Linked DNA regions of Arabidopsis thaliana. The protein of the gene in region 2 interacts with the protein of the main gene of each other region in a pairwise test. Each region holds a gene or a part of one and is shown on either strand. Other genes may lie near its edges.

Region 1 (10,767 bases), on a different chromosome or scaffold from region 2:
AACTTAAAGACAGACACATGAGGACCTAAAAAGCCAATTAAAACTAGACAAAGAAACGTAGAAAATTAAAAACCAAACTCTAAAAAAAAAAAAAAGAATGTTAAGAAGGGTTTAAGAAGGCATCAACCTTGTTGTTGGAAGCCATGGACAAGAACTTCATGCAAATAGGAGCCTTGACACCAGCCAAGGCAAGGATAGAGCTTGGTAACGTCCAAATACCTTCACCACAGATCAAACCAGAAGCAACAGCAGAAGAGTACGCATCGGCCTTTGGTTTATTCAGCTTCCTCCAGATGAACAGTATGAGACTTCCCAGACACATATCTATTGTGAAGTAACCTCCAAGGTAGAAGGGTATAGCCATAGCCATTGGGAGCGGGATAAACCGAGCCCACTTTGGCCCAAGGGCATCCCTTATACCGTTTACGATCACTGCTGCTGCGAAGAATATGTAGCAGAGCATGAGGCAATGTTTGGGCAAAGCAGAGAATCCTTCGACTCCGAGTATAGACATGTTTCTGTAGACTAAGGCGTATGGAGCGGGATAGGCGGTCCCGGGTTGGCCAAAGTCAGGGAACGCCTTGTAGAATAGCCAGAAGACGCAAGGAGAGATCACACATCCCATGGCGGTTCCAATGGCTTGGCTCAAGAACATTGATCTTGGTGAGGCTAATGTCATGTAACCGGTTTTGAAATCTTGCATAAGATCAGAAGCTGTTGAGACAATGTTCATCATGACACCACAAGCTGCAAGTCCAGCTAAGACGCCTCCGTTAGATGCACCAGCCCAGGCTCCGATGGTGAAAATGGCGAGTTTTCCATAAGTGGAAGCTAAGGACCAGTCAGTGAGTCCGCAACCGTAGGCGTTGCAAAAGGCTAAGACAGGGGCGATTATGTACATGATCAAAATGTGGTACCATTTTAGCTGATGGAAGATATGTGGAACTGTGATGATTGAGACTATAGCCAATACTACGTAACCGGTTACAGCAAACCATGATGGGATTCTGTCTTTGAGGAAAAGCTCTGTTCTTCTTTTGTCGTCGTAGGAAATGGTTACAGGGGCTGTTGATGTATGGTCGTTGATAGGAAGAACATCTTTGTTCTTGAATTGCTTGTATAGACCGAAGACAGTGCGGCCTAAGACTTTGATGAAGTTGTAGAGACCATCACCGAGGATCATAGCTATGGCTATAAACACCTGAGGGCATCAAACACAACTTAAGATTGTAAACTCTTATTGAATGAAATGAAGGAAAAGAGAGTGAGAGACACAGTACCCTGTAGCCTTGAAGACCATGGAGACTGGTTGATGAGAGATCAGCAGCATACCATTTGCCTTTTTGGGCACCAATGAGAGGCCACATAACACCCCATGAGAGAATTGCTCCGATGAGAAGAGACACATTGATAAGATATGGACAAATCATTCCAACACCAACATATGTAGCAGAGAAATCAAAGTAGAATTTGTTTTCATAGGCTTTGAGACCAAATGTAGGGAAGTTGGCGAAACCACAACCGTCACCAGTAGCAAAGAACCATTGAAAGAAACCCCATAAGAAACTGAATGAGAAGAACTTGCCCAATGCTCTGACTTGCTTCCTGTGTTATACATAGAGAAAAAAAAAGTGATCAATATTCAACAGACAAAAGAAAGATTGTAATGGGGGCATGATGAAAGATTCTTACTTTGCGAGTTTGGCACCTTGAGGTGTGTGGAAGCTGTTAATGAGATGGGCAGTGGCAGTACCACTAGGATATGTCAATTTGAAGTCCACGATCATGATCTTTCGAAGAGGAACGACGGAGAAAAGACCAAGAAAGCTAACGACAAAGAGAAATCCTATCATCCAACCCAAATGTGGATTCTTTATGTTCAACGGAGTATTGGCTTCCGCAGATTGTTTAGCAACAACATCACTCATTCCAAACAGATAACTACCAAACCCACCTGTTCAAACACAAACACACAATCTTTAAGCCAAACTATGGTCGTAAATACACCAAGAGAGAACCAAACATATTGGAAACAAATTTCATTCATGTAACTATAAAATTAGTTATGGTTAGCAAACACAAAATATTGTTAAGGTAGGTATTAAATCTTGTGAACATGTTAGATGTGAATTGATTTCTTTAAATTAAAAACCAAGCCAAAATCTAATCATAACGTATACCACAAACTAAAGTTCCTATATAATAGTATGAAATTAAAGGTCATGTGCCAAATAGGTTCCCATTTGACACACATGGTGGGCATAGCAAGTCAACTCTTATTAAAATAAAATTGACGTCATAACGAATCACGTGAGAATCAAAAATAGTGGTTTCCTTGGAATTTCAATCTCTCCATGCATTAAGTATGTGTACACGATGAGTGGTGATGTCTGTTTCAAATCTCGAAAATAGTTCCAAATATTAAATTCTCAAGACAACACCATTTAATTAAAAATATGAAAGTCATAATTATCCTCTAAAAAATTGTGATTCTCACTTTAGTTTACCAATCTTATCCCATGCAAAGTAAGAAGTCAAACGATAGTGGATTAGTTTTTTTTTTTTTTTGTTAATATAATCTCTAACGTAAGTATCCAGAAAAATAACAGCTAATTCTAGTCTACTATAAATAAAAAGTTGAAGCTCCTAATTAAGTGCCGTAATCAACTAATCATATGCTAAAACATCATTGACTTAGACCTAAATACGAATCTCACGCGTCATGTTCTCTATCAACTTGCCGTGTAGATATGGTTCTTATTTTATAACAAAAAAAAAAGTCATACACATTGCTCTCGGATATGAATCTCTCACGTCACTCACTAATCAACTTTGATTTTGACATACTAAAGAAAGTATGAAGTATCCACTTGATTTTGACATACTGCAAAGAAGTATCAAACCCATACACATTTATTTTTATCAAAAAAGATCGTGTGATATTAGTTTCCTAGTCTAGGTTTTAACTTGATCGGTTTTAATTTTTTAACTATTGCACATATTATATTTTTTAAACAACTATATAGTTTATTTAATTTTCATATTTTTTTTTAGAAAGCGATAAACACAAAAAAGAAGTATATACTCTGTCATTTTCAATAGAGACCTAACAGCAAAAAAGTTTTAGCCGTAAATAGAAACAAAATTAAAGACGGCGACACCAAATTCCATCGACGCGTTCACATCAACAAACAAAAAAACGTACCGCTAAAGGCGATGCCGGAGGAGGCGACGACACAAGTCTGAATCACAGTATTCTCTTGCCGTGTAAACGGTTGTTTAAGAAAACCAGCTTTATTAAGAATCTTAGTCCAACTTTTAACAAAGAAGAAACCAAGCAAACCGGCGGAGATATTCAGCGACGGAATAATCCCAGTCGTTAGATTCAGTTTCATCACCACAAAGGTAAAGAGAATCGCGAGTATGAAACTCACGATTAGAGCTCTGAACGTGAGCTGTTTTTGCCACGGCGGTGGGATTTCGTTACTCTCTTCGAAGATTCTCTCCACGGAGATTTCTTCTTCTTCGTTGGATTTAGATCCATTGTTTAGATCGTCGTCTTTCTTCGATCGTTCGACTTCCATAGCTGAGAGTTTTTGATTTGATTTGAGTCAGATCTGAGGAGGGGAACGAGAGAGGGAGAGATTTTATAGAGGAGAGGATCTGAAGAGAAGAGATCGGCGAGAGAAGAGGACGATTTTCTTGTAACTGAATGATTCTCTCTATTGTGTGAGTGAGAGAGAGAAGCGAATCTGTTTTAATATTTCTATATTTATAAGTCAAATGTGTTTTTTTTATAAATAATTAACCTACGTGCACGTGGACTATGGTGTGGTGTGTATACACAGTGTAAAATCTGAGTTTTTTCTTTGGTGTGGATTTAGAGTTAATTAAATTGATACGTAAATGGATTTTGGAATTTAGATTATGACATGTTTACGTGTTAAACGAGCCAATTATGACGGGTCGTAGATTGTATTAATCTTAACAGAATTAAGTTTTAGTTGCAAATGTGTTTTTTTGAAAAGAATTAAAATATTAAAATGAAAATACACGTAAATATTGTTTGAACATTTGATTTCAGAACAATAGTCGTTTATATAGTGAGTTGTTCTTCAAATTACTTTTAATTTCGGAGTACTTAACTATTAACCAATATTTTTTATAATTAAAGATTACAAGGGAATTTTACTTTTTCTACCACAATTTTCCCAAAAAAAAAATATTTCTATCGCTTTTCAATAGTACCAAATTATTTATGTGGAAAGACCAAAAAAAATAAAAACTATGTGTCCAAACGTTTACACCGATTTGACATTTTCATTTTTATGTTCTCTCACTACATTGTTAAAGACTCTAAACGTGAGCTGGCTTTGCCACGAAGGATGATCCTCATGGGCTCATGGCTGGCCTCAAAGATTCTATCATGTCATGTCGTGGCATTTGAGATCGTCATTTTTTTCCTTTATCGCTCTGTGACCGCTGCTAAATTTAAGTCTAACCTAGCTCTTTGTTTACAAGAAAGGAGAGGATTATTTTAAATAAGAGAAAAGTTGGAATATTCGAAAGTGTCGTGCTCTTATTCTATGGTACGAGACTATGAGTGACTAGATAGAATTTTCATTTAGATTCTCTAACCATAATAATTAGGTAAAAAAATCTTAGCTATTAATATTGACTAATAAATATAAAATGTGAAAGTTTGACTATACTATATTAATAAACAAATGGTTAACTTGATATTGACCATGAATGCATCATTAACTTGCTTAGAATAACAAAAATCTTATGAATTTATAACTACTAGAAGTTTGATTATATGCGAGGTGGGTTCAGACTATTCACATATTACACAAACTATTTGTGGTATTAGAACTTGTATAACTTGGACAAAATTCATATCAATTAACAATTAACCTATTGAAAATTAGATAAATAGAGAAATAAATCTATTGTTTGCTTATGTGAGTATAAATAATGAGATTTAGACTTAAAATAGTTAAGTCAAAATTAAATAATATTTTGGCACCTTTTATAAGAAAAGAAGATAAAAGGGACCTATATGATCAAATACAAAAGTAGAGGGGTTATTTCATAATAACACGTATCTTAGAAAATCTTTTTAATCTTCTTCGTTCACCGAATCTTCTTGGGTTAGGTTTGTCTTCAAAATCGTCAGAAGAAGAAGAAGAAGTCAAAGACGATAACAATGACGTCATCATCGTACCTCCGATTTGCGATCGCCGTCGTAGCTTTCCTCTCAATCACCACCATCACCACCGCACGTCCTTGCAAAACCTTCCTAATCTCCTCATATTCCCTCTCAATAACCCCAGAAAACCCTAACCTCGAATCCGATTTCACCTCCACACGATTCGTCACCGTTTTCACAATCCGTCGTCTAAATCCTCACCACGTGGTTCCTTTCTTCGTCAATCGTCGTCACGAGAAGCCACAGATCCAATCGGATCGTTCCCTCCCTTTGATCTCTGATAACATCAATTCGTTTAGAGATCGAACCAGAGATATTCTTAGCGTCGTCGTCGCGCTTTTGTTCGGTGTTGGTTGTGGTGCTTTAACCGCTGCTACTATGTATCTTGTTTGGGCTCTTGTTGTGAATCGTCAAAGCTATGATTTTGAGGAAGAAGAAGATGATTATGAGAATGATGAATCTGATGCTGCTAGCTTGAAGAAATTGGGTTATGTTAAGATTCCAGCTCCAGCTCCTGCTCCTGTGAAGGAAGCTGCTTGATTTGAGGTTGTGAATTTCAGTTTCTGCATATTATCATGATTTACGTTGTTGCTTATCTATGTTGTTGCGTACAAGTAAATTCGTCTCTGTTATGGATTTATCTAAACTTACTATACTCTAAGTATCAGTGTTTTTACGATTTGTAGTTGATGTTTCTTAGATATATATAAGTGTGATTATGATGTTACCTATGGATTTATTCATTATCTTTGATACCAATGTGACTAGTTTAGGAGCTTAATACTTAAATGGATTGATCATCAAAGGAACCAAGGTCGTGACTCGAGAAGTCTGTTTCTTGTTTTCTTTCTGACTTGCTAGAACCTAACTTGGTCGCAGGATATGTGTATGGTTCTCATAGCCCCATTTTGTGGTTTAATAGCTTTCATTCTTTCAAGCACTGATTAGCTAGAACCTAAGTAGGTCGCAGGATATGTGTCTGATTCTCGTTAACCAATCTGTGTTTTGAACAGCCTTCAAGCATTGGGAGTGTCTAGTTTTCTATTGCTTATGGTCATATGTGTGTATGGTTCTCATTGCCCCATTTTGTTGTTTAATAGCTTTCAAGCATTGCATACTTAAGGTAGTGTCTAGTTTCGGTTCCGTTTCTTGTAATCTTACTGACTAGCTAGTAGCTAGACTTTTTAAGTAGGTAGCAGGATATGGGGATGACTCTGGTTGACCCCAATCTGAGTTTTGCATAGCTTTCAGAGCATTGAGAGTGTCTAGGTTCTATTGCTTATGGTCATCTGTATATATGGTTCTTATTGCCCCATTTTGTGGTTTAATAGCTTTCAAGCATTGTGAACTTTAGGCAGTGTCTAGTTTCTGTTCTGTTTCTTGTTATATTTCTGACTACCTAGTAGGTAGACCCTTTTAAGTAGGTCGCAGGATATGTGGATGATTCTCATTGATACTAATTTCTGATTTGCATAGCTTTCAAAGCATTGAGAGTCTCTAGTTTCTATTGCTAATGGTCATCGTTGTGTATGTATATAGCTTAAAGGTTGATGTCTTGGATGCAGAGGAACAATTAAGTGCCTTATTCTCTCTAGTCTAGTAGTTATTTGCCTTGTAACAATCCTTTGTTATGTTACTATTTGATTTGAGGTTGTTTTATGTATGTAAAATCCAGTACCTAATTGTCTTGGTAATAGAATCTATAGATGTCTCAAAATCGGTCCGATTTTCGATTGTCAACACAAATGGTGCAAGATTTTGCTTTCTACATATATACTCTTTTCTTAAAAAACTACCTCAAAAGAACCTAATTGTCTTGGTACTCTTTTCTTAAAAAACTACATATATATTCAAAAAAACTACCTCAAAAGAAATTGTTTATCGTTTCTTTTTCAGTATTTTAGTTATCTGATAAAATAAAATAAAATTGTTTTTGGGTCCTCCACTATACATATGAAGAAACTTGCACATCACCATTCAGTTTGGTCACATGAGTTAATATTAATGAAAGCACTCGATTAACAACAAATATCATTAATCAAACTCAGTAAATTATTTATACATAAAACGAAATTTTATTTTCAATAGAAACTACTGATGTTTATTTCTTCATATCCTAATTTGTAACCTCATATTCTTTTGGTAAACAAACAAAACCATCAAACATGCAAATAACCGTTGGAATTCTAAAACTTATTAAAAGAATTTTTGAAGAGAACCATTTTGCTTTGAAAAAGGCAAAAAGGGTCAGAGATAATACGACATTGACTGCAGTGTGTATAACGGCTCCAATTTCAAAATTACTATCTTTAATAAAATAAATTAATTCCACTTTGACCCCATTATTCTTCAAAGCTTACAATTTCACCCGACTTTTCTTAATTTTAGAAAGTAATGGGTCCTATCCGAATACTTTCTGAAATAAAAGAACTTTTGTCTGTCACAAATCGCATTACCAAACAAAAAAGTTTGAAGTTTTGAATCTTTTTGTCTTCTTACACAAAAGACATTCCCCTAAAAACTCTCTTGTTCTTGACTCACTTCTACTTCAAAATCTCTCTGTTCTTCAAAATTCTTTGTCACAAAATGGGTTGCTGTCTCAGCAAGAAACCTTCCCCTTCTCTTCCCTCTAGTGTTAAACCCTCAGATCCAATCAAACCCATGGAACCAGTGATTGAGCCTTTGGAGGAAGAAGCAAAACCCAAATCTGAGAAACTGAATCAAGAAGAAGAAGAAGAAGAAGTTGTGGTGATAAAACACACAAGAAGCCATGAAGAGAGATCCAAGAAGACAGAATCAGATAAAGATTCTCCAGTTTCTTCTCCTGTGGCGGCTGAGAAATCGAATTCTACACCGCTTGTGAGAATCTCTAGCTGTACTAAAGAAGAAGTTGATGCTATATTGATACAATGTGGGAAGCTAAGTAGAAGCAACTCTGCTGCTAAAACAAGAAGATACTCTGGTTCTAAAAGAAGCTTTGATTTTGACCAGAACGAGAGAATCCGCGGCGGCGATGCGGCGGAGGAAGACGGAATGCAGCGAAATCGTCACCGTGGAGTAGAGAGAGTGCATGGTTCGCCTCGTGAACGGAGAAGACGAACTCCGAGTAGAGAAAGAGAAAGATCGGGAAGCAGAGAAAGAGGAAATGTCGGCGGTGGCGGCGGTGGTAGTAGGAGAGTGAGTAGATCTCCGGCGAAACGTTCTGAGATTCGTAACGCTGATTCGTGTGGCAGTTCGGTAAATTCGAGTAATAATAGACCGGGAAAGTTTGTTACGATTCCTGCAACGGATAAGAGTAACAATGTAGAGCCGTTAGTAAAACGGATTACGGTTAAGAGAAACATCGGAGACGCTTGCAGAATAGCGGCGTCTCCGAGGTCAAAATCTCCGGCTAGAGCGGGGAATAATGTTCCCTCGCTAAGCCGGAGTAATTCAAGAAAGGCGGAACAATCTCCCTATAGAAGAAATCCATTGGGAGAGATTGATCAAAACACTAAGAAGATGATAGAATCTGTGAAACCTAATTCAAGAACAAGTAGAGGTCCAAGCCCGAGTCGTGTTGCTGTTGTAGAACTTACGAAAGCTCCTCAAGTTGTGTTAAGCAGAAGCAGATCGTTGAGGAAATCTCGAGATTTCGATTTGGTATCAAACGAGGATAACAATTACACTGCATTGTTGTTGAAAGATATTCAGAGTTTTCATGGGAAGAGTGTTGATGATAGCGTGATTTCGCTGCCATTGTGTGTTAGTAAAGCTTGTTCAATTGTTGAAGCAGTGGCTGATCTTAACTCTATGACGAACAGAACTTGTTTGAGGTCTGATTCGAGCCGGTTTAGATTCACATCGACGGTGAAGAAAGCCGATCTTATGGAACCGAGTTTTGAGAAGTATGTGACTGTGAAGAGAGGTGGTGGTTCGTTGGAGGAATCATCTGGTAGCAACAATGTTACGTGACTAGGGAGATTCACTTTTAGCAATAACAGAAACTCGTGTTGTTGCGGTTTAATATGGAGAAATTGTTGTTTTGTTTGTCTATTGTTGTTTCCTTTGTTTGGTTTATTTTGTAATTCAGATGTCAATTTGACAATTTCAATGAATCTTCTTCTTATCTTCAGTCTGGCATAAAACCCAAAAAACCTGTATCGGACCCGAAACCAAACCAAATAATCATATAACCGGAGAGACTTTTAAATAATTTTACACGAATTATCCCAACTGAACCCGAACAGAAACAAAAACCAAACAGTATATCTGAAAAATCGAAACAATATCTACATATTCAAAATTATTAGATGTTTTAAATTATAATTATACCTTAACCAATTAACAAAAATATCCAAAAATATCTTAGATATATTATATATATCCAAAATATCCGAAAATTCTTAGTATTATACCTAAACTAAATGACAAAATTATATATTTTTTGTAATTCAATTTTTATTAAAATTTTGAAAAAATATGTAGTTTTTTCCAAAAACCGAACCAAATAATCATAGAACCCAAATATATACTAAATTTTTGTATCGGATGAATCCAAAAAATCTAAACTGAATCCGATCTGAACCCCGAACCATGCATACTTGGTGGATTAAACAGTTCGGTTCAGGTGAAAATTTTCAGAATTGTCGGTTTCGGATAAAATAACTAAACCGGATAAAATGTTCGGTTCGGTTTGAGTATTTCTTTTAACATTTCGTAGTTAAAAGCAACATCCAAAAGCAAAAACACACGCCGGAGAGTTTTCTAAGAACAACAGTGACGAAAAGGTTTTTAGGGTTTCTTTACCAATCAGAATCTCCGCCAAGTAACGATTTTCAGATTCCGAAGCAGCAAAGGTTAGAGCTTTTCCCTCATACGTTTCTTCTTCTGAATTCCTTGAAACCCTCCGGTGAACCAGAACCTGTTTTACATTCGTTTTCTATTCGGTGGTTTCTTTTAATTTAGGTCAAATTACACTGGAATTATCATTTGTTTCTCGTAATTCTGGATTTATGTTAAGTTTGGTGAAATCTCTCGTTGAGATGGATACGAAATCTATTAATTTTTCATTGTTATCCGTAAGCACACCAAGTGTTCGATGAAATTCCTAGTCTAATTTTTAGTAACCTTTCAGTTCAAATAATTTCCGAACTGTAACATGGCGGCAACTACTGGACTTGAGACTCTCGTCGATCGTAAGTTAGTCTTTTTTTTTGCCATTCTCGATTGATATGTGATGTTCTGTCACATGAATTGTCTAAAGATCTTATCTTTTGATTGGTTGCTGCAGAGATTATTTCGGTGATTACAAATGACGGACGCAACATTGTGGTATGTTATACTCTCTTGTGTGATATCTGGTTTAGAACTCCTTATGTCAATGCAAGTATCTTAGTAAAGAGATCGATTTTTATATTTTTTCAGGGAGTTCTTAAAGGTTTTGACCAGGCTACAAATATAATCCTTGATGAATCTCATGAACGTGTGTTTTCCACAAAGGTTAGCTTCTGATTCCTGTTTTAAAGTATTTTCATCTGAACTTTTCGATGTTACTAAATTGAATGGGTGCAAAT
Region 2 (5,793 bases):
ATTTTAAATAATGACACGAACTATATGTATGTTAATACTATGTTGAATCCGTGGTTATCAAATGTAAGCAAACTTCTACATTACATATATCGTTGATAAAAAGAAACAAAAAGTGGATGAAAAAGCAGTTTCCTTGCAACCAAAATTTCGGAAAAAAACTCAAAGTTATATGAATTTACTTGTAAAATAGCTTACTTGAAAAAAACCAAGATGTTGACATGCCAAACTTAGCTCCTGAATAACCCCTCGACGTTCATCATCTCCCCCTTTCAGCCGAGAAACATCGATAGTGGGTACGATTCCGGAATTTGAGTCACATGGTTTGCTAGAAGGCGGGACGACGTAACAGTCAGGTACATACGGTAAACTCCTCTCTTGTGCAGAATTCCCCATTTTGAATGTGCTTGAATCCTCACCTTTCTCCATTATTGGTATTTGAATTTGAGTGTTGAGAAATCGGTTAATATTGTGAAGGGATAACTAAAATGAAAGTGTGAGTGGCTCCTCTATATATAAGGTTTGTAGGCTTGTAGTCGTTTATTGATATTTCGGAGTTATATATTAAAATATGACGGTCGAATACTAAATTATTATTCTTCCTTTTTGGAATATCTAGAGCATGTGTAACTGTCAATTGTTTATCGTGTACCAATAAGAAACTAAACTTTATTATCAAAATGATAATATAATGAACATCCATATGTTGTACGAAATGTATAAGAATGTCCAAATTCATATATGACGAGGGATATTAATAAGATGTTGGGATATAGTAGGAAGTAGGAACACTAACATGGATTTAATTTTTAAATGGAGACTTCGATCTCATTCATAGTCCCAACTACTAAAAAACAAAAAGAAGCTTTCCGCAAAAAAGCATCCTCTTGTCCGGATTTCAAGCCTTCATAAATATGTTGGACACATATGTGAATGCATGTACAGATAAATTCGATATATATGTCGTTTGAGTTGTAACAATTCTGTAAAAATAATAATGAAATTGTTATATACGGTCATGCGTAAGGTCTAGGTAAAATGTATTGCGCCGGGTTCCTTCATGCAATGGGCATTTATCTTCCTTTGGGAAAGACAAAAAAATGTCTGATGTCACATTGTCACTGACATTAAAATGAGAATTTTCAATCATAATTTAACACAACTAGCAATTAAGAAATAATATTACATCGATTTTTCATCGAAATACAACTACCTAGCTTCTAGTGATATACAGTATTAGTACTATTTTTCGTTGGGTATATTAGTTAATTTATAAATACGTAATACGTAAATAAAAGTTGCAAACAAAATGTTCATCCTAGAAATTATATTTTAGGACAAAAAGAATTGTTTTCTTGTACATGTTTTAAAAATTCGACTATATTTTAACTTTTTATCCCAAAAGGCTAAACCATATATCTAGTATAATTTTTCGATCATACATGTTCTAGTTCTGATGCTCCAACAACTATAAAAAGTGTTACAAGGGAAATTCTCTGGACGCATATTATTAGGTAGGTTTGGTAAAGAGAAACACTCAGGATTAGTCGAGGAGTTATGGTTCAACACCCCTTCAATGCCAATTCCAAGCCCTCTGCAAGTATTTTCGAGAAAAGGAAAAGTACATAACAACTAATATCACCATTCCACAAGATCATATATAAATACAAGCATTATTTACTGGCCATTAAAATCTTCCCTATATTTGTATGTTGTGCAATCAAGAACAAAAAATAAATATGAATTACTGCTTCAATATCTCCATCAAGATTTAACCATTTTAGGGTTGTGGACTTTAACTAACAGCATATGAATCATATGAATTGTGAAACACGAAAAATTTGTTAAGAACAAAAAAAAGGCTATAGGGAACAAAGCAGATCATATATGTTGTGGTGGTTGTGAAGTTAGGTTATCCACCAATGAGCAACCTTAACCTATGCCTTATATAAAAACATATATATTTCCATAATTCCATTCACACATATGCATATAGACAACTATAGCAATACAAGAAAATTAAACGCAATTTATTGAGAAAATACAAACAGCGTGCACTATGAAGAAGACGTCGAAGATACAATTTCTTTTCAATCTCTGCATCATATTTGGGGTTGTAGTAATAAGAAGATGTAACGCAACGACATACTTTGTAGGAGACAGCTCCGGTTGGGACATAAGCTCCGATCTCGAGTCTTGGACTTCAGGCAAGCGATTCTCTCCTGGTGATGTTCTAAGTAAGTATCTTTGATCATGTTGGCTTCATCCAACTATATATATACTACATAATTAAAAACTCAAATTAATTTACAGTTTCCCTTAATGAACTAATTAGTCTAATTAATTATGTGTATAATGTTTTTGCAAGTGTTCCAATACTCATCGACGCATAGTGTATACGAAGTGGCTAAAGACAACTACCAAAATTGCAACACAACAGATGCGATCCGGACGTTCACAAACGGGAACACGACCGTTGCTCTTTCCAAACCGGGAAACCGGTTCTTTGTATGCGGTAATAGGCTCCATTGCTTCGCCGGTATGAGGTTACTAGTCAATGTTGAAGGCAATGGCCCATCTCAGGCTCCCGTGGGATCTCCCCAAGCCGCCACTTCAGGGATTCTTCAACCATCTTCTAAAAAGAATAACCCTGCGACCGGAGTCGCTAGCTCAGCCGCCCGTTTTGTTGGCGACAGCGGTTGGAGGGGTACCATGGGAATTTTTGTATATTTTATGGTTTTTGCTTTTCCATTCATATGGTTTTGCTGATTAAAAACTATCTATAATAAGTGTTTTCATGTATATGTGTATTCATATTTGCCCTATAATGAGTGAGAGTATTTATTTGTTGAATTTCTTTATTTTTGTTTGAGTTCATGACCAAATTAAAACCTAAATTTTTGGTTCGTTATACAAATTTCGTTTTGTTTGCTCAGCAAATTTCTTACAAAAATGACATGTAAACAACGTTATGCTTAAAGTTATTAATCAATCAATGTATAATAAAAAAAAAGGAATTAGATTCTTTGACTACATTGAATTTGTATTTGTTCGATTCGATAGCGGAAAATTCAAAAAATAACCGATATCGGTTTATATTTTAGGTAATTTTATCTGGTTCGGTGTAGTAAATTCACCGTTTGACCGTATCTATATCACAGATGATTCACTGCGATTAAAAGTTGTGGTTATCACTATCTAATCGTGATCGCTACCAAAACGCAAACGCTAGTTACCGGAAGACACGTCTTGAGTTTCGCAGCATCTCTCTCCTCTCCTCTGTTCATATCTCTCTTTAGAAATTTCTCAATGAACATACTCAACAGATTGGGTTTGGGATCAAGTGGGCAAACCAATATGGATCCTTCTCCGATCGCTCAGGGAAATGACGATGACACACCGGCGCCGGGGAATCAGTTTGCCCAATTCGGAGCTGGATGTTTCTGGGGTGTCGAGCTGGCGTTTCAGAGAGTCCCAGGGGTGACTCAGACCGAGGCTGGATACACCCAAGGGACCGTAGACAATCCTTCATACGGAGATGTTTGTTCTGGTACCACAGGCCATTCGGAGGTTGTTAGGGTTCAATATGATCTTAACGATTGCACCTATGAGTCTCTGCTTGATTTGTTCTGGTCTAGGCATGATCCCACCACTTTGAATCGCCAGGTATTTTTGGATCCAAGAGTTGAAAGTTTTAACCTTTCAAGTTCGGGGATTGAGAAAGATTCTGTCTTTAGGATTATTGAATCTATTGGGATGTGCCTGAGTCTGTTGTGCTTTGGGGATTTCTTGATTTTTCTCAAATCTGATAGCTTTCTGATTTTCATCACCAGTCTTTACTTTGAAACTTTTTAAATTTGGAACCTTGATCATCTAAGTAGAATATGAGGAAGGAAATGATATTGAATCTTGATTTTTGTTGAATTATGAGGCTTGAGTTGGTAACTTTGGTCGTTGATCTTAGTATGATCCAGATTATGTAGTAGCTCTGTAATCTCTCCCCTGTTGCTCCCTTTTTAATTGAGGTAGAGATACGGATTTCAGAGAGGTTCTTCTTGTTCTGTTCATGATCATTGATTAGCATTGGATTTCATGTTTGTTTATATTGATGTTAGTTTGGCTTATCATTTGTCTTGCATCTGTGCGCAGAGAACTATAATCATATGCAAGTTTCTGCTAGTTTTGTTTGAGAAATTCACTAGCTTATAGTCAAATTATCTCGTTGGGGTTCATAGCGAAGTATTCTCAAATTCTACGCATGTACGAAACCAAATCGTAAGCGGTCTGTTTAGGTTATATGGTTTTAGCAATTTCTGTTGTTGCAAACTCGGGACAACTATCTCGATGATGTTAACCTTGTGTATTATGATGAAAAAAAATCCTATTTATGCTTTTTTCCGACAATTTACATTTGCATCTTCTCTGACTTTCAATAGCATATACTGACCAGTCTTATGACTGTTTATCTCATGAGTTTGAATTCTCTGTGTTTACTATCATAATTTTAGTTTAAGTACTCAGTTTTCTCGGCAGCCTACTTCCATGCTAAATTGATACTTTGATTTATGACTTTGCTGTGATCAGGGAAATGACGTGGGAACCCAATACAGATCTGGAATATACTTCTACACACCCGAGCAGGAGAAACTAGCCCGTGAGTCACTTGAACGTCACCAGCAACAAATGGAGAGAAAGATCATGACTGAAATCTTGCCAGCTAAGAAATTCTACAGAGCTGAAGAGCATCATCAACAGTATCTGTCAAAAGGTGGGCGGTTTGGCCAAGGGCAATCCACTGCCAAAGGCTGCAACGACCCAATCCGCTGTTACGGCTAATAAGCTGCTTTCCTCTGTCCCTCTCCGAAAACAGAGGACTTAGCATCAAAGGACTTGTGTGTCAAATAGATTGTGTAAAACTTGACTAAGTTGTTCACACGCTATGTAACTACTTCTTTGGAATTTCATTCGCAATGTTGTAATATTGATGTTATACTCTATAAACATAAACCAAATAATCATTGCGATCCTTACTAGATCTAAAAAGCCATCAACATGGTAAATGTAGCCAACGAAAAAAAAAAAAAAAAAGAGTGTTGGAGGGCCATTCCTTTATTAGAGTAATGATTCTCTAGTTTTGATTGCATAAACAAACGTGCCCACCAACCTACAAGTTGCATACTTGCATGATTGTTTATTATTAAGTCATCCTTCATAGTTCATATAATAGAGCTTAGAACTAGCTAGTTGAGTAATTGACCCAAAAAAAATGTGAACGGTATCAAAAGTCATTTCATAAACACATGTTTTCCAAGTTTTGATCAATATTATATCTGACCAATCTATAGATTGTCTTTCTCAAATACGAATTGATCTAAATAATTTCAGACCAACCAATTTTTTTGAATTATGTTTCCAAATTATAATGATGGTTGTTGGATTTTTTTTTTAAATAGATAGTTGATACAGTATTTCTATATACAATAAAAGAAATGACGCGTAATATATCCATTATTCATTAACAATTTGACCAAATTATAAATGCTACACATAGTATTGATTGAATGTATTTTTCTTGTGTGTCAAATACTACTTACATTGAAATATGAATATTCCTATTTAGCGATGATTTTTAGGTGTTAATCTCTGACTAGCTTCTTTATATATATAAACGAGCTTCCCGAGGTCTCATCATCAAACAATACACTTAACAATGGATTCTTCTCTGAAAACTCAGGAACCTCAAGTAGTGGAAACTTCTCCTTCTCCGGTAGCTCAGGAGCCTCCTCAAGTAGCTGA
Region 3 (13,064 bases), on a different chromosome or scaffold from region 2:
CAGAGAATATACCTTTCCCAGTAATTTTTGCGCATTGAGTAAGGGTCAGGAACTTTCCAGGCTGGAATCACGAGATCTTTGCGGGGGTCAAAGCAAGGATGATCTCCTCTCCTCTCATCAGATATATCATCCCAGTTATCACCAAAATAAGCTGTTGTTGAATGGTTGTGCTTAGAGTTTGTGTTACCCCAGTGAACTAGCATCATGCTATTCCATATCTCTTTAGGAGCATAGCAAGCACCTTCATCCCATGAGAAAAACTGCCTTTTTCAGGCGTAAAAAGATTAGCCACATTAGTGTGGAGTGATCTGTGTAAGAAATCAAGAAACAAGCTCTAAGTATGTATGCATCATCATACCCAAATATGGTCTCTTCCAGCTGAGCGGTTCCAGTATGGATATTTCTCAACAATGTGTTCATAAGCCCTTTTGTAGAACTCTAAGGTAAGTGAGCTTCTTAATCCAGTATGATTCTGAAAGTAATAAAAACATATACAATATATGAGCTCTAAAGCTTCTACAAGCAGAGAATCAAAAGGTGAGTTTCTCGACCCAACCTGCATGTTAATGTGAGGTGCATCATCAGCACGATTTATAATGCATGAATCCAGAACAGGAACAAAGAAGAAATCTGCCTCTTCTCCATTCATTGTACGATGAGCGGTGGCCAAGATGTTCTCGTAGAATGCCATCTTCAAAATCAAAAGAGACAAAGAAGAGGCAAAGTTATCTTTCAATTCAAATTCAGGAGAAAATTGCTGAATTATCTGGTATTCGACTCAAGTTTAGTAGAAAACCTGGGAACCATATAGATAATCTGTCCATACTGTTGCATTCCTCTCATCATAGATCCTATTAACGCATTCAAATTTAAAATGCCGGCCCTGCAACAACAAATTTAAATCAGAGGAGACTGAGAACTTTATCATAAAAGGTGATTTTAACATTTTGTAGAAGAAAAACTAAAATTTTGGATTGTGACCTCAATAAGTAGACTGTTGAAGTCTGGGGGTAGATCATAGATGTATATAAGAGGCCTTTTTTTCTTCACCACAGCACTCAGATTAATGAGATTACCAGGGACATTTTTTTCACTTGGAACTTCAAGATGTGCTGGTCGAAGCCACTGTGGCCACTCTCCTACCGTCGAGAGAGTGGATGGAATACTACAATCTGTTCCAAACCAGCCTTTATCACACTGAAAAGGCGGTAAAACACACACAAAGTTAGGAAAATTTAGATTATGAATATGCAACCTCTCGGTACCAAAATGTCAAGCGTGGTGACTGTGGATACACAATTTTACCTGGCAGAAACCTCCTCTGCATTTGCCATGTCCAGAGCACTGATTAACGCAGGTGCATTGTACTGGAATTTCGCAGAACCGTCCCCAAAGACAATCATATTTACAGTCACATTCCTCTTTGATTTTCACCTTCATAGCATATGCATCTTCTGGATCCACATTGCACCATCCTTGTTTGCTACTGTTTGTTGTTAGAATATCTAAGTCTGGTTTCGACCAATCTGTCATTTTAGGTTCATCAGGATTCGTCGGCGAACTGAAAATACATGTCTTAAGTTAAAGAGTTTTTAATCTTGATTTGAGAAGCATTTGAGACTGTCAAAGAAAAGAATCAGGTAAAACTTACTTGATTTGAAATCCACATGACTCTGGCACTGGACGGTTTGGATATTTTGTGCCTTCTCCACAAAAGCACATTGCTCTTGTGGTGTCACAATGTCTGGAACAAATCGAAACAACCCATTTTCCGTATGGCATCTCTGGTGTTTTCTCATAATTGCAATCTAAACGAAGCTTTTGTGAACAATCTTCTCCTACACAGAACCGGTCAAAGTAGCTTCATTTACACACCAATCATTTACAAAGCAATCAACATTGGGTTTAGGAAGATTAAAATAGCATAAACACTAACCTGTAAATCCATGGAAGCAACGACATAATCCAAATTCATGGTTACAAACACCTTGACCACTACAATCACTCATACACTTTCTCCCACCAATTGGCTACCAAAAAAAAAAACACAACCATTATAACAAAATCAAAGAAACAAGATTGTTTCAAGATACCAAAAAAAAACTTACTTCAATAATGTCAACTTCTTTAGCAACTGCATCACAACTAGAAAGCCATTGTCCGATCTCAGCTTTCCACGAGGCATTACGATAAACTACTGCACCGTGTGAGTCAGCAGGAAAGCGGCGATCAAAGGCAACAACAACAAGGGATTGACTTGAATTCTTAGTCACTTGTGAGATTGATTCATTACTTGGTCCACAAAGATTCTGAGCTTGTCTTACAGTAATAGAATCAAAAGAAGGCACTACAGGACCAAGAAACAGATGAACCAAGGAAACGAGAACAATGACAGAAGCAACAGTGGCTATCTGAGACCATGAGAACTTCCATTTCTGGTGAGAAAACATGATGGAAATCCGAAGTTGTTAGTTTTCAAAGTTGACCGCCTGAGAATCAGAAAAAGGAAGCAGTTTGATTACATAAAACCCACATGCTCACGAAACACAAAGTAATGGAATTTACGGAATCGTCAAAGAAACTGAGCTGAAATAAAGGAAAGATAGACCCACAAGGTTGGGCAACAACCATAATTGAGCAATTATTGAAACATAAATAAACAAAAAGCAGTGAGCTTTGACCGAGAAACAATGGAGTTTTCAAAGTTGAAATGCGAAGACATTAATGAAGAGGAGTAAGTAACATTGAATCATGGGTTTTCATACATTAAAGGATCCAAACTTAGAAGAATTATTTACATGATTACAAATCAGACATTTGAGCTAGTATTAAACAAGTTACAAGAAGAATCACGAGAAAGAGACAGAACGTATTCAAACAAACATAAGGAAGCTGAGAGAGAGACAAAAACTCACCAGCTTTGACGGAAAACGTCATGGGTTTACAAGAACTAATTAACTCAACAATGGGGAGGATTTATACGATAATTATTACTTACAGAGAGAGATTTGATTATACAATAATTATATAATTAAAATAATAATAATAATGCTTCTTTGTAATAATTAGAAAGAGAGAGATGGCCACGGAGATCTGTGGCTGGCCGGGAAGGAAAGCAATTGTTGATTGATTATGGAAGTGGTCGTCTCTCTCGTGTGCGTCATCTTCCTCCTCTGCTTCGATTCTCTCATTTTTAACTACCTTTCTTAACCTTCTGACCATTCGCCGCCCATTCCCGGTTTGATCTTCTTAACCGGTTTCTTTTGGTTTTCTCATCAATTTTCACTTTTCTTCAAACAAAACCAAGTCAAGACTTCAACTCTGACCAAACCGAGTTTAACCGGATCAGTACCATCTCTAATTCAAATCCAGTAAATAATCTGATTTGTGACGGCTGTGGGCAAAACGGTAAGTACGTGTCTCCTTTTTATTTTAGTTATCGTTTCATTGTCTTGAGAAAGACCGTGGTGGGTGACGCACTCCTCTAACAGACAATTACGTAATTTACCAATCTAGCCCCGTTTGATAGCAATGTGTTCGCTTTTTCCAGAAATCTTTATTTTATTTTTTATGTTAATAATTGAAAATCAGACTCACGTGAACGTAGCGCTTTATCATTGGTTAGGATTTCAGCGACGACTCCGTAAAATTAAAAAGTCTACATTCTCTCCTTCCTACCAACAAAAAAAAAAGTCTACATTTTCCTTTGAATATTCAAACTTTTATTTTTTGTACTACAATAATTTTTATTTAATATCGCTCCCCAATAGTATTGAAATTGACGAATTGTGCCACTATTTCAATCAGCCATTAGAAAACTAATTAGAATCTGTTAAATTGTCACAATCCACCACAAATCGTTGTCAATATTTGGAATCTAAATTGAAACAGAAAGATTCCACTGAAAAAAAAAAAAAAAGTGAGAGAGGCAGCTCAAGGGATGTGGTGAAAACGTGAGAGACTTTTGAATGTAATGGCGATGCACAAACTGCTCTGAGCATGATACTGTAATGTTACTGGACGATGCTACCATATGTTCTGATTTTAATTAATTTTATGGAGTGTTTTAGTTTTTTTTTTTTTTTATGTCAAATTAAAAAGTGAAGTCAACGATTTGTAAACAAGAAGAAACGTGGCTACAAGCCTACAAAAATATGCAACATCTTGAAAAGAAAATTTCTAAATTTATACAGAATAAAAATGAAACTTGGACTTGCTAATCTGTTTTAAACCTTGAAAATCTGTTTTTAAACCATTTATATAATCTATAACAAGTATGTGATATGTAATCTATAAACTTGTTTCACCACAAGAAGAAGAAGAATCTCTAAGGAATCTTTTTAGTTCTTTGGCAACTTCAACCATTTTTGGAACTTCCCCTCTAAGACCAATGCATCTTTCCGAGAGGACAATGAAAGCTTCCATTCGACAACGCTCTTCTTCTGTAACATCACCTATTTTCTCTAACATGTTTGAATCGACAATCTCATCAATGCATTTTGCAAACTTTCTTCTGTTTTCAAAAGTTGTCAAGTCACTCCGATCATAACAAAGCTCATGAAATCTCTCTTCTCCCATCAGAAGCTTTTGCATAAAAATACCAAATCCAAACGCATCAGTTTTCTCCGAGACAATACCATTAATCAAATAATTATCATCCATGTAATCATAATCTCCACCTATACAACCATTACCAAGCTTCACAAATGTTTCTCCTTGTGGAATAGAGACACAGTAGGAGAAGTTACACAACTTAGCAACACCATCTTCATCATCCAATAAGATATCTTCTAAACGCAGAATCCTATATACGAAAGGTCTTGGAAACGCAGTGTGAAGATAAGCTAAAGCAGTTGCAATCTCCTCTGCTATTTTCAATCTTTGTCTCCATGACACAACCATTTTCAGATCTAAACTAGTAGGTTTCTTTGATGCACGATAAACCAAAACTGGATGTTCAGATTCAAGACAACATCCAACCAATTGCATGAAGTTTTTATGACCACTAACAATCGATGAGATGGCTATGTCACGGCAAAAGTTTCCTCCGTTATGCTCACTAAATCTATATCTCCATTTCTTGATGAGTAACAGTTTATGATGATGATGATGGTTATTGTTTTTACCTGAATAATACCAATCGTATGGAATCTCATCGAATAGTTCAGAAACACGATTGGATTCGCTGAAAGTGTCGGTGGCTTCTAGGATTTGATCAGCGGAGAATATTTTGATGGGATTTGCTTTGCCATTGCAAGATTTGATGATCTCTTCTAGCAATGTCCCACCTCTCTCGTGTCCTCGGACCAATCTCTCCCTTTTAATTATGGCTCGTAAACTCTTCTTCTTCCACCACTCCATCTCAAACAACAACGAAAAAAAAGTTTCTTTTACTTTTGAGGATAAAATGACCAAAGATTGAATGACGAGTTGAAGACCACACACCGTGTTGAAAAGTTGTAACGTGAAGTCAACGAAACACCATTAAGGAGTAAGACTTCGTTGGAAAAGGTTTATCTTTTAGAGCAGAAGAAGACAAAAGTTGTTGAAAATTCTTCACCTCTTTGTCTGTTCAGCTCCCTTACTCTCTCTTATACTCTCCTCTGTTTCAAGACAAGCACAGAGAAACGTTACTCCCTCTTATGTTTTAAGTATAAAGACATAAACGTTTTGGAAGAGAAGAGAGAAACTGATTTACTATATTGATAGTTCGGATCCTTATATTGATGAAGCCATGTTTAACGCAATTCTATATGAGTCAGAGCATCAGTGCATCAATTCACAGAGCAGAAAAAGTTCCTCCGTTTTTGCTTTGAAGATTCTTTCTCAAGTTTCCATCTTTCTTCTTCTGGGTTTACATAGTTCTGTGAATCACAGACTGTGATCAGTGGCAACGAACACAGAGAACAAAGATGCATTAAAAGACAAATTTATTCATTGTTTTGTATTGATAGTTCATATGTAATTGATTAAAGAAGAAATATGCGTAAGAGAAGACTAAAGAGTACATTTGGCTAAACCCTTTTTTAAAAGTCCCACATCGACAAGCTAGGGATCGTTGGTCATAAGCTTTGTAGTATAAATAAGAAGCTGAGCCATTCGTTCTAATCATACCTTTCTCGGCCTTTTGGCTAAGATCAAGTGTAGTATCTGTTCTTATCAGTTTAATATCTGATATGTGGGCCATCGGCTCACACGATATTAACTCTATCTTTTAAGGGAGAAAGCCCGCTATGATAGCTTGCTATCTGGGCTTCCACGAGTCGCCCATGCGTTGCACTACTGCACGGGCCTGGCTCAACCCGCCAAACTAGAAGTGAAACTTTTAAAATTTTAGTCACTTTTGATGTTTAGTTTTTAAAATGATGTAGGATTCTTTATCATTCAAAGTCCAAAACATCCAAAATATACGACAAGTAAAAATCTGTGAAGTAAATATATGAACTTTTGCTTGTCTCTGGCAAAAATCTGAATGGTAATGTTTCAGACTGAAGCCAAAATGGCATTGGCATTGTCTCTGCGTCATGTGTGTCTCATCTGCGATCTACAGTTTGATGGATAATTTGCAGAATTCTCAATCAGCATGATGCTATGTTTATGAATCATGTAAGCAGAAACGACTCCTGTTTACGTTATATCAATGTTTCCATGGGTTTTGTTAGTTAAAGATTGCCGCTGGAAGCGTGTGCGTATACTATCACTGAGAAGAAAGATGAAGACAAGCCAAAGATGATCGTAGTAGCTTAAGGAACTCAAGTGGATTCAGACATCACTTTAGAGATCGAAATAGGGTTTGAGAATTGGAAAACAGTGTGAAAATAAGCTAAAGCAGTTGCAATCTCCTCAGTTATATTCATTGCAACGTTCGATGAGATCTTCTAACAGCATCTCCCCCCTCTAGCTCTTGATATCTTATTCCTCAACTAATCGAGAAACACTTAACTTTGAAAAATAAAATGACAAAACTTGAAGACCTCACACACTCTCAGTTGATCAAAACGAAGAACACTAGCTAAGATATAAAGTCAAGCTGTCGTTGTTGAATATCCCACAAAGTCGTCCTTCCAAGAAAAAGCTCACAACAAGACTTGCGGACTAATTTCATAGTTCTTTCTACATCACCTGAAAACTAGTTAGGAAGCTAAGGCTTTCTCTGTTTTTTTTTTGTTTGTCATTGTTCCACTGGTTCTTTGCTACAATTTAGGAGACTAGAACAAAACTAAATTTTTTGTTTGGTTATACAATGCAAAAAAATATCTGCAAAATAAGTGATTTAGTCTCTAACCGAGAAAAAAGTAATTAAAAACAGAGCAATTACTAACTATAATTTCTGGTGTCATTTTGAGACTATAGTTAAAACTTACAAGCAATGTTTTACATAAATCATTTTTAAAATTATAAGTAAAAATGTTGGCGCCTCAGTATTTCAGGTTCGATTCCCATTGTTCTTTTTCAAATTGGATAATTTAGTCCACATTGACAAAAAGAAAGAAAAATCATAATATGTTTAAGGATGCGTCAAGTGTATGCATATATATTGTTGTAAAAAGAAAAAAGGTGTATGCATACGTTTCTAACATATTTTGTCTGGCAGTCAACTATTTGTTATGAATATGTACAATCACATAGAAATGATAGCATGTGGCTATGTTACGTGAATTAAGGCAAATGATCTTACGTAGGGAAAATTGTAACTAAAAACTCAACAACCCTTATTTGTTTTTTTTGTTATCTTTTCCACTTTGCTGCAAAATTTATTGGAGAATCTGAATAAAGCGGTGAGCATAGTACAGCTGAAAATAACTAGATGATGAACTTGTTCTTTAGTTTGTTTTGATTCTTCATTATATTTAAAGAAAATTTGGTTAGATAGATCAACCACTTCAACAATACTTTTGTAACTTCAAATATTTAATAACAAAAAAATTAAAAAATGTTTGAACTTTACTGAAATGAAATTTCGATATTAGAATACTAAAGAATCAAACGTGCACTTAAATATCATTTAGTTTATATTTATACAAACCATGAAAGACTCTCATACTTTACACCGCACATAAACAATCAGAACCATACCAAACCATGTGAATAGAATCACAAAGACGTCATGCTTTAATTTACAAGCAAAAAAACAAAAGGCATCGGCTAGAGAATAGCAAAAAGAGGAAGAATTGAACGGAAAAATTGAAAACATATGGAACAAAGTGGAGCACTTAAACATCCACGGTAATATTAGTATATTAGTCACCTTCAGACTAGGGCCAGACATGAACAAAGGATTCGATGTTAGTGACAAGTAGCATATCAGACTAATAAGGATATATATTAAGCGGTATGGGTAACACATTAATCCTTTCTCCAATTACATTCTCTTTAAGGTTCTAAGATCCGCCACTAGGCCATTTTATTGGTAAAAGTAAAACCATTTTGGTGGTCGTCTATGAGTGTTAAGAATTATGTAACAATTTTTTTGGATTCACCTGAAATAAATCTGTTGATTTGAAATATTTGGACGTTACATTTCCATATATAAGCTTACCATACAAACATTATAATTAATTGGAAAGTCCAGCTAGCACTTTTTACCACATGCAAAGGGAATTAATCCTAACTTAAAAAATTAGGAGTAATCACATCTTGGTAGTGTATACCGATCAATTTCCGACAGACGTTTTTTTTTTCCTTGCCCATTGATTGCATAGTTCAAAACTTCAAAGTTGGCCAATCCAACCAAGTCGAAGAGATAGGAGATGTTTTGAAGTATGAAAACAAATAGAGGGGCTAAAATCAAAATAACAAGAAAAAACGCTTCTGCCGTGTTCGAATGTGTCCTCGTGATCATCTCCGTATATAATCAATCAATCAATAAAAATCCAGAGTTACAAACACTCTTCTCAAAATTTTCCCATTAAATCGCAAAGTTAATTTTGCGATTTTTTTTCTCTTTTTTTCTGGTTGGGTTATTTATTTTCCCCTTTTAAAAAACTTCTGCAACTTGTCTTGAAATCTGGGGTAAAATATTTCTTCATTGGTTTCTGGAAATCTCGGGGAACGATTTGTTGGGTTTTCTTCTTTGTACTCTCTCCTCACATTAGCTTTTGTTGGTGGGATTTTTTGAGGATGGTGATTGCTGCAGCTGTCATCGTGCCTTTGGGCCTTCTCTTCTTCATATCTGGTCTCGCTGTCAATCTCTTTCAGGTTTGGTTTCTGATTCGTTTCTGGTGTTACTCTTTTTAGATTCCGTTGTTGTTCTACATTGTAGATCCTTTCTTCTTTTGTTTTGATTCACTGCTTTTAGGGTTTCCTTCTCCAGAAACTTTGATTCTTTCGTTTTTGTCGGTGATTGTGTCTTAATTCTGAGTGTGCATATGAGAGTATAAGCTCGAAATTGACTCGTGGAGCTCATGCACTGAGCTATAGAGTGTTGTTTGATTCTGCGATTAAGTATCACTTTCTTCAGATTTATCTTGATTTCTATGTTGATTGAATCGAGGAAGGAATCTTTTTTTCTCTCAACTTCGTTTGCTTCAGTTTTGATGTTTACTACTACATATTGTTGTTTCAGGCAGTTTGCTATGTACTCATTCGACCACTGTCTAAGAACACATACAGAAAAATTAACCGGGTGGTTGCAGAAACCTTGTGGTTGGAGCTTGTATGGATAGTTGACTGGTGGGCTGGAGTTAAGGTATCCACAAGCTTTCTCCTTTTTACTAAATGGTTGTTAAGCTTGGATTTTGTTTTATCTTATCTAACTCTATGAGTTCCTCTCAAATTTCTTGTTTCTTTTCCCTTAGATCCAAGTGTTTGCTGATAATGAGACCTTCAATCGAATGGGTAAGTTCATATGCTTATTGGCAATCAAATCAGTTTCTGATGTCTTCAAGATATAAAATTCCTATGTAAGAACGAATCTGTAACTTCATTGACTGTCCTACTATTTTTTTCTAGGCAAAGAACATGCTCTTGTCGTTTGTAATCACCGAAGTGATATTGATTGGCTTGTGGGATGGATTCTGGCTCAGGTACATAATTTCACCTCACAGTTTCATCTATCTTCCTACGTTTTTGTTTGAATGCATAAATGGAGATCAACATAATAGACTTCTTGATGAGAAAGCATGTATACTTGCAATGGGACCATGTATTGCTTCCAAGTATCTACTTAAGAAAGATTATCTTAGGTAGAAGGTGACAGTCCCTAGTGATCATCTGATGAGATATGAGAGAGTATAGCATCATCATATTTTCTCTTAACACGCTCCCTGTTATGCTGTTTACATCTTTTAATCTATTGTTTCATATTTTCTTTCCTTGCAGCGGTCAGGTTGCCTGGGAAGCGCATTAGCTGTAATGAAGAAGTCTTCCAAATTCCTTCCAGTATGTGAATATTTTAGCTTACTGCTGTGTGCTTGCTAGATTTGAGAGAAAATAGTAGTAATCTTTAATTCTATTTCTGAATCTCTTCTATAAGTTAGAAATTTGATACCTGGCTTTGCGTTTGAGAAAAAATCATTGTTTTAGGTTAATACACTTCTCCGCCTTTTTTATCTGTTACATATTCATAGTACTCATAAACAGAATTTTCACACACATACAGGTCATAGGCTGGTCAATGTGGTTCTCGGAGTATCTCTTTCTGGAAAGAAATTGGGCCAAGGATGAAAGCACTCTAAAGGTATGGGTTTATAGTATCCTTGTGCAACTCATTTAGTTTTTGCTCCTGTGTAAAATGCTTATTAGCACGTGCAGCTACCTCGTTCATGAGGGGATTAGCCTAAAAATGCAGAATCTTCATTTCCAGACCATGAGTTATGTGTGTTTGTCTAAATTTACAGTCAGGTCTTCAGCGCTTGAGCGACTTCCCTCGACCTTTCTGGTTAGCCCTTTTTGTGGAGGGAACTCGCTTTACAGAAGCCAAACTTAAAGCCGCACAAGAGTATGCAGCCTCCTCTGAATTGCCTATCCCTCGAAATGTGTTGATTCCTCGCACCAAAGTAAGTTGTAATATTTTTCTTTTGTTCATTCCTGGGGCAACTTGATATCTTCTCTGTGTCCTTTAAAAAGCAAAATGATTGCTATGATGATCCAAAATCTCAATGCATGGGTAGCCTTTATACGTTTCATTTTCATCAGATCGACTTGGTGGTTGTTATTGTGATTTCTGCCCTAATTACTAGACTTGCTTGTATTTTTGTTTCAGGGTTTCGTGTCAGCTGTTAGTAATATGCGTTCATTTGTCCCAGCAATTTATGATATGACAGTGACTATTCCAAAAACCTCTCCACCACCCACGATGCTAAGACTATTCAAAGGACAACCTTCAGTGGTAAGCAAGCAAAAATATGAATAGGTCGTATAGCAGTTGAATCTTGCACTCTTCTCACAACAAATTTCAAAGTATGCACTGGCTTGGATCACATCACCATCCAATTTACTGAAACGAACATAACTCTTTATATCACCTTTACTTTTATAATGTGTAAGAAACCGTAGGACTCATCCCATCCCAAGCCTTTTTCTTTTAAAACCTCCTGCGCCATTAACGCAAACCATTGCTGCTGGTTTCAAGGTGCATGTTCACATCAAGTGTCACTCGATGAAAGACTTACCTGAATCAGATGACGCAATTGCACAGTGGTGCAGAGATCAGTTTGTGGCTAAGGTAAAAATTATGGATGTACTGGTATTTCCACGTTTCAGTTATTGGCAATAATATATTTGGTCAAGATTTGATAGAGAAAAGCTTGGAAAAGCTTTCATTTTGGTATTCTCTCATCTCGTCTCTGTGATACAGGATGCTCTGTTAGACAAACACATAGCTGCAGACACTTTCCCCGGTCAACAAGAACAGAACATTGGCCGTCCCATAAAGTCCCTTGCGGTGAGTCTATAAAATTCATAACATTCTCTTGGTTCCATCTATAAACTCACAAATCTCTTGATCTTTTTCTCAGGTGGTTCTATCATGGGCATGCGTACTAACTCTTGGAGCAATAAAGTTCCTACACTGGGCACAACTCTTTTCTTCATGGAAAGGTATCACGATATCGGCGCTTGGTCTAGGTATCATCACTCTCTGTATGCAGATCCTGATACGCTCGTCTCAGTCAGAGCGTTCGACCCCAGCCAAAGTCGTCCCAGCCAAGCCAAAAGACAATCACCACCCAGAATCATCCTCCCAAACAGAAACGGAGAAGGAGAAGTAAAAACTGGTTCTCACAGATCCAAACATCAAACACAACAAGAAGAAGCGCGTGTCAGTTTTGTTATAAGAAACAGAAAACCAAAAAAAAAAGACATCCAAATGAAAAATCCCTTAATATTATCAACTCCGTTTTGTTCAGCTACTATATTACTACTACTACTACTACGCAGCCTATGTCTCTTAGTCGATTGATGTATAGGGTCATGATCAAATCAACGATTTAATCCCTATAGTCCCTTGGGATTTTTTTTCTCAAGTGCATAGGCCTTGTATAACTTTCTATTTTTAGATTGGAATTTGGGATTGATATTAGACATTTTCCTTTTATTATTAAACTGTTTTGTTCCTTGGTTCTCATTGCTAGTGTAGAATTTATTAGGCACAAAACATGTTATTACAAGACGTTTTAGAAGAAAAAACAGAATTTATTCATGTACATAAATTATCTGACTAGACTAATCCTACTGGGACTTAATTGTGATTAGACAAAAAAAAATTCATTTTGAGAAGAAAAAACAGAAACCCGTTCATGGAATTAACTGAGATTAGACAAATTCAACTACAGTATGACGGTGATTACAGGGAGAATATCGTAAAAGAACAGGTTTTATTTTCTTCCATTTTTGATAGAACACATTTTTTTTTTTTTAATGAGTGTATAATATAATAAACACAATTTTTATTTTAGTTTTCTCAACCCTAAAACTAAAACCCTTTCACGCCGATTCAAAAGAAAAAAAAAACCTTCACAAGTCCGGTTGCTCGCGCCGCTTTTCTCTCTGTTTTCAAACTCCGATTAAAGTCCCGACTTGTATCAATTGATAAACCCTAATTGTCTCCGTTCTTGCTGAAACAC

The links.
Region 1: the proteins of AT5G07475 (region 2) and AT1G65720 interact in a protein complementation assay, tested with the Arabidopsis thaliana proteins (one large-scale study listed by BioGRID).
Region 3: the proteins of AT5G07475 (region 2) and LPAT2 interact in a protein complementation assay, tested with the Arabidopsis thaliana proteins (one large-scale study listed by BioGRID).

What each region holds. Positions count from the first base shown.
Region 1 is NC_003070.9:24,435,456-24,446,222, reverse strand, and holds AT1G65720 (uncharacterized protein), read left to right. Parts: upstream 1-5,149; 5' UTR 5,150-5,209; coding exon 5,210-5,752; 3' UTR 5,753-6,571; downstream 6,572-10,767. Other genes in the region: YSL7 (YELLOW STRIPE like 7), read right to left, coding at 101-1,201, 1,281-1,605, 1,693-1,954, 3,206-3,584; AT1G65710 (serine/arginine repetitive matrix-like protein), read left to right, coding at 7,799-9,166; LSM8 (Small nuclear ribonucleoprotein family protein), read left to right, coding at 10,353-10,389, 10,485-10,525, 10,619-10,693.
Region 2 is NC_003076.8:2,361,800-2,367,592, reverse strand, and holds AT5G07475 (Cupredoxin superfamily protein), read left to right. Parts: upstream 1-1,987; 5' UTR 1,988-2,056; coding exon 2,057-2,234; intron 2,235-2,365; coding exon 2,366-2,766; 3' UTR 2,767-2,887; downstream 2,888-5,793. Other genes in the region: KUOX1 (KAR-UP oxidoreductase 1), read right to left, coding at 196-426; PMSR3 (peptidemethionine sulfoxide reductase 3), read left to right, coding at 3,307-3,663, 4,582-4,833; PMSR2 (peptidemethionine sulfoxide reductase 2), read left to right, coding at 5,708-5,793.
Region 3 is NC_003074.8:21,340,631-21,353,694, forward strand, and holds LPAT2 (lysophosphatidyl acyltransferase 2), read left to right. Parts: upstream 1-8,752; 5' UTR 8,753-9,120; coding exon 9,121-9,198; intron 9,199-9,565; coding exon 9,566-9,688; intron 9,689-9,797; coding exon 9,798-9,837; intron 9,838-9,951; coding exon 9,952-10,025; intron 10,026-10,320; coding exon 10,321-10,380; intron 10,381-10,600; coding exon 10,601-10,678; intron 10,679-10,838; coding exon 10,839-10,997; intron 10,998-11,203; coding exon 11,204-11,329; intron 11,330-11,572; coding exon 11,573-11,665; intron 11,666-11,797; coding exon 11,798-11,884; intron 11,885-11,957; coding exon 11,958-12,209; 3' UTR 12,210-12,563; downstream 12,564-13,064. Other genes in the region: AT3G57630 (exostosin family protein), read right to left, coding at 13-260, 359-472, 557-691, 797-883, 982-1,197, 1,306-1,561, 1,652-1,838, 1,937-2,030 and 1 more; AT3G57640 (Protein kinase superfamily protein), read right to left, coding at 4,291-5,361. UniProt on the Arabidopsis thaliana protein: Converts lysophosphatidic acid (LPA) into phosphatidic acid by incorporating acyl moiety at the 2 position. Has preference for C-18-CoA substrates compared to C-16-CoA substrates. Required for female but not male gametophyte development.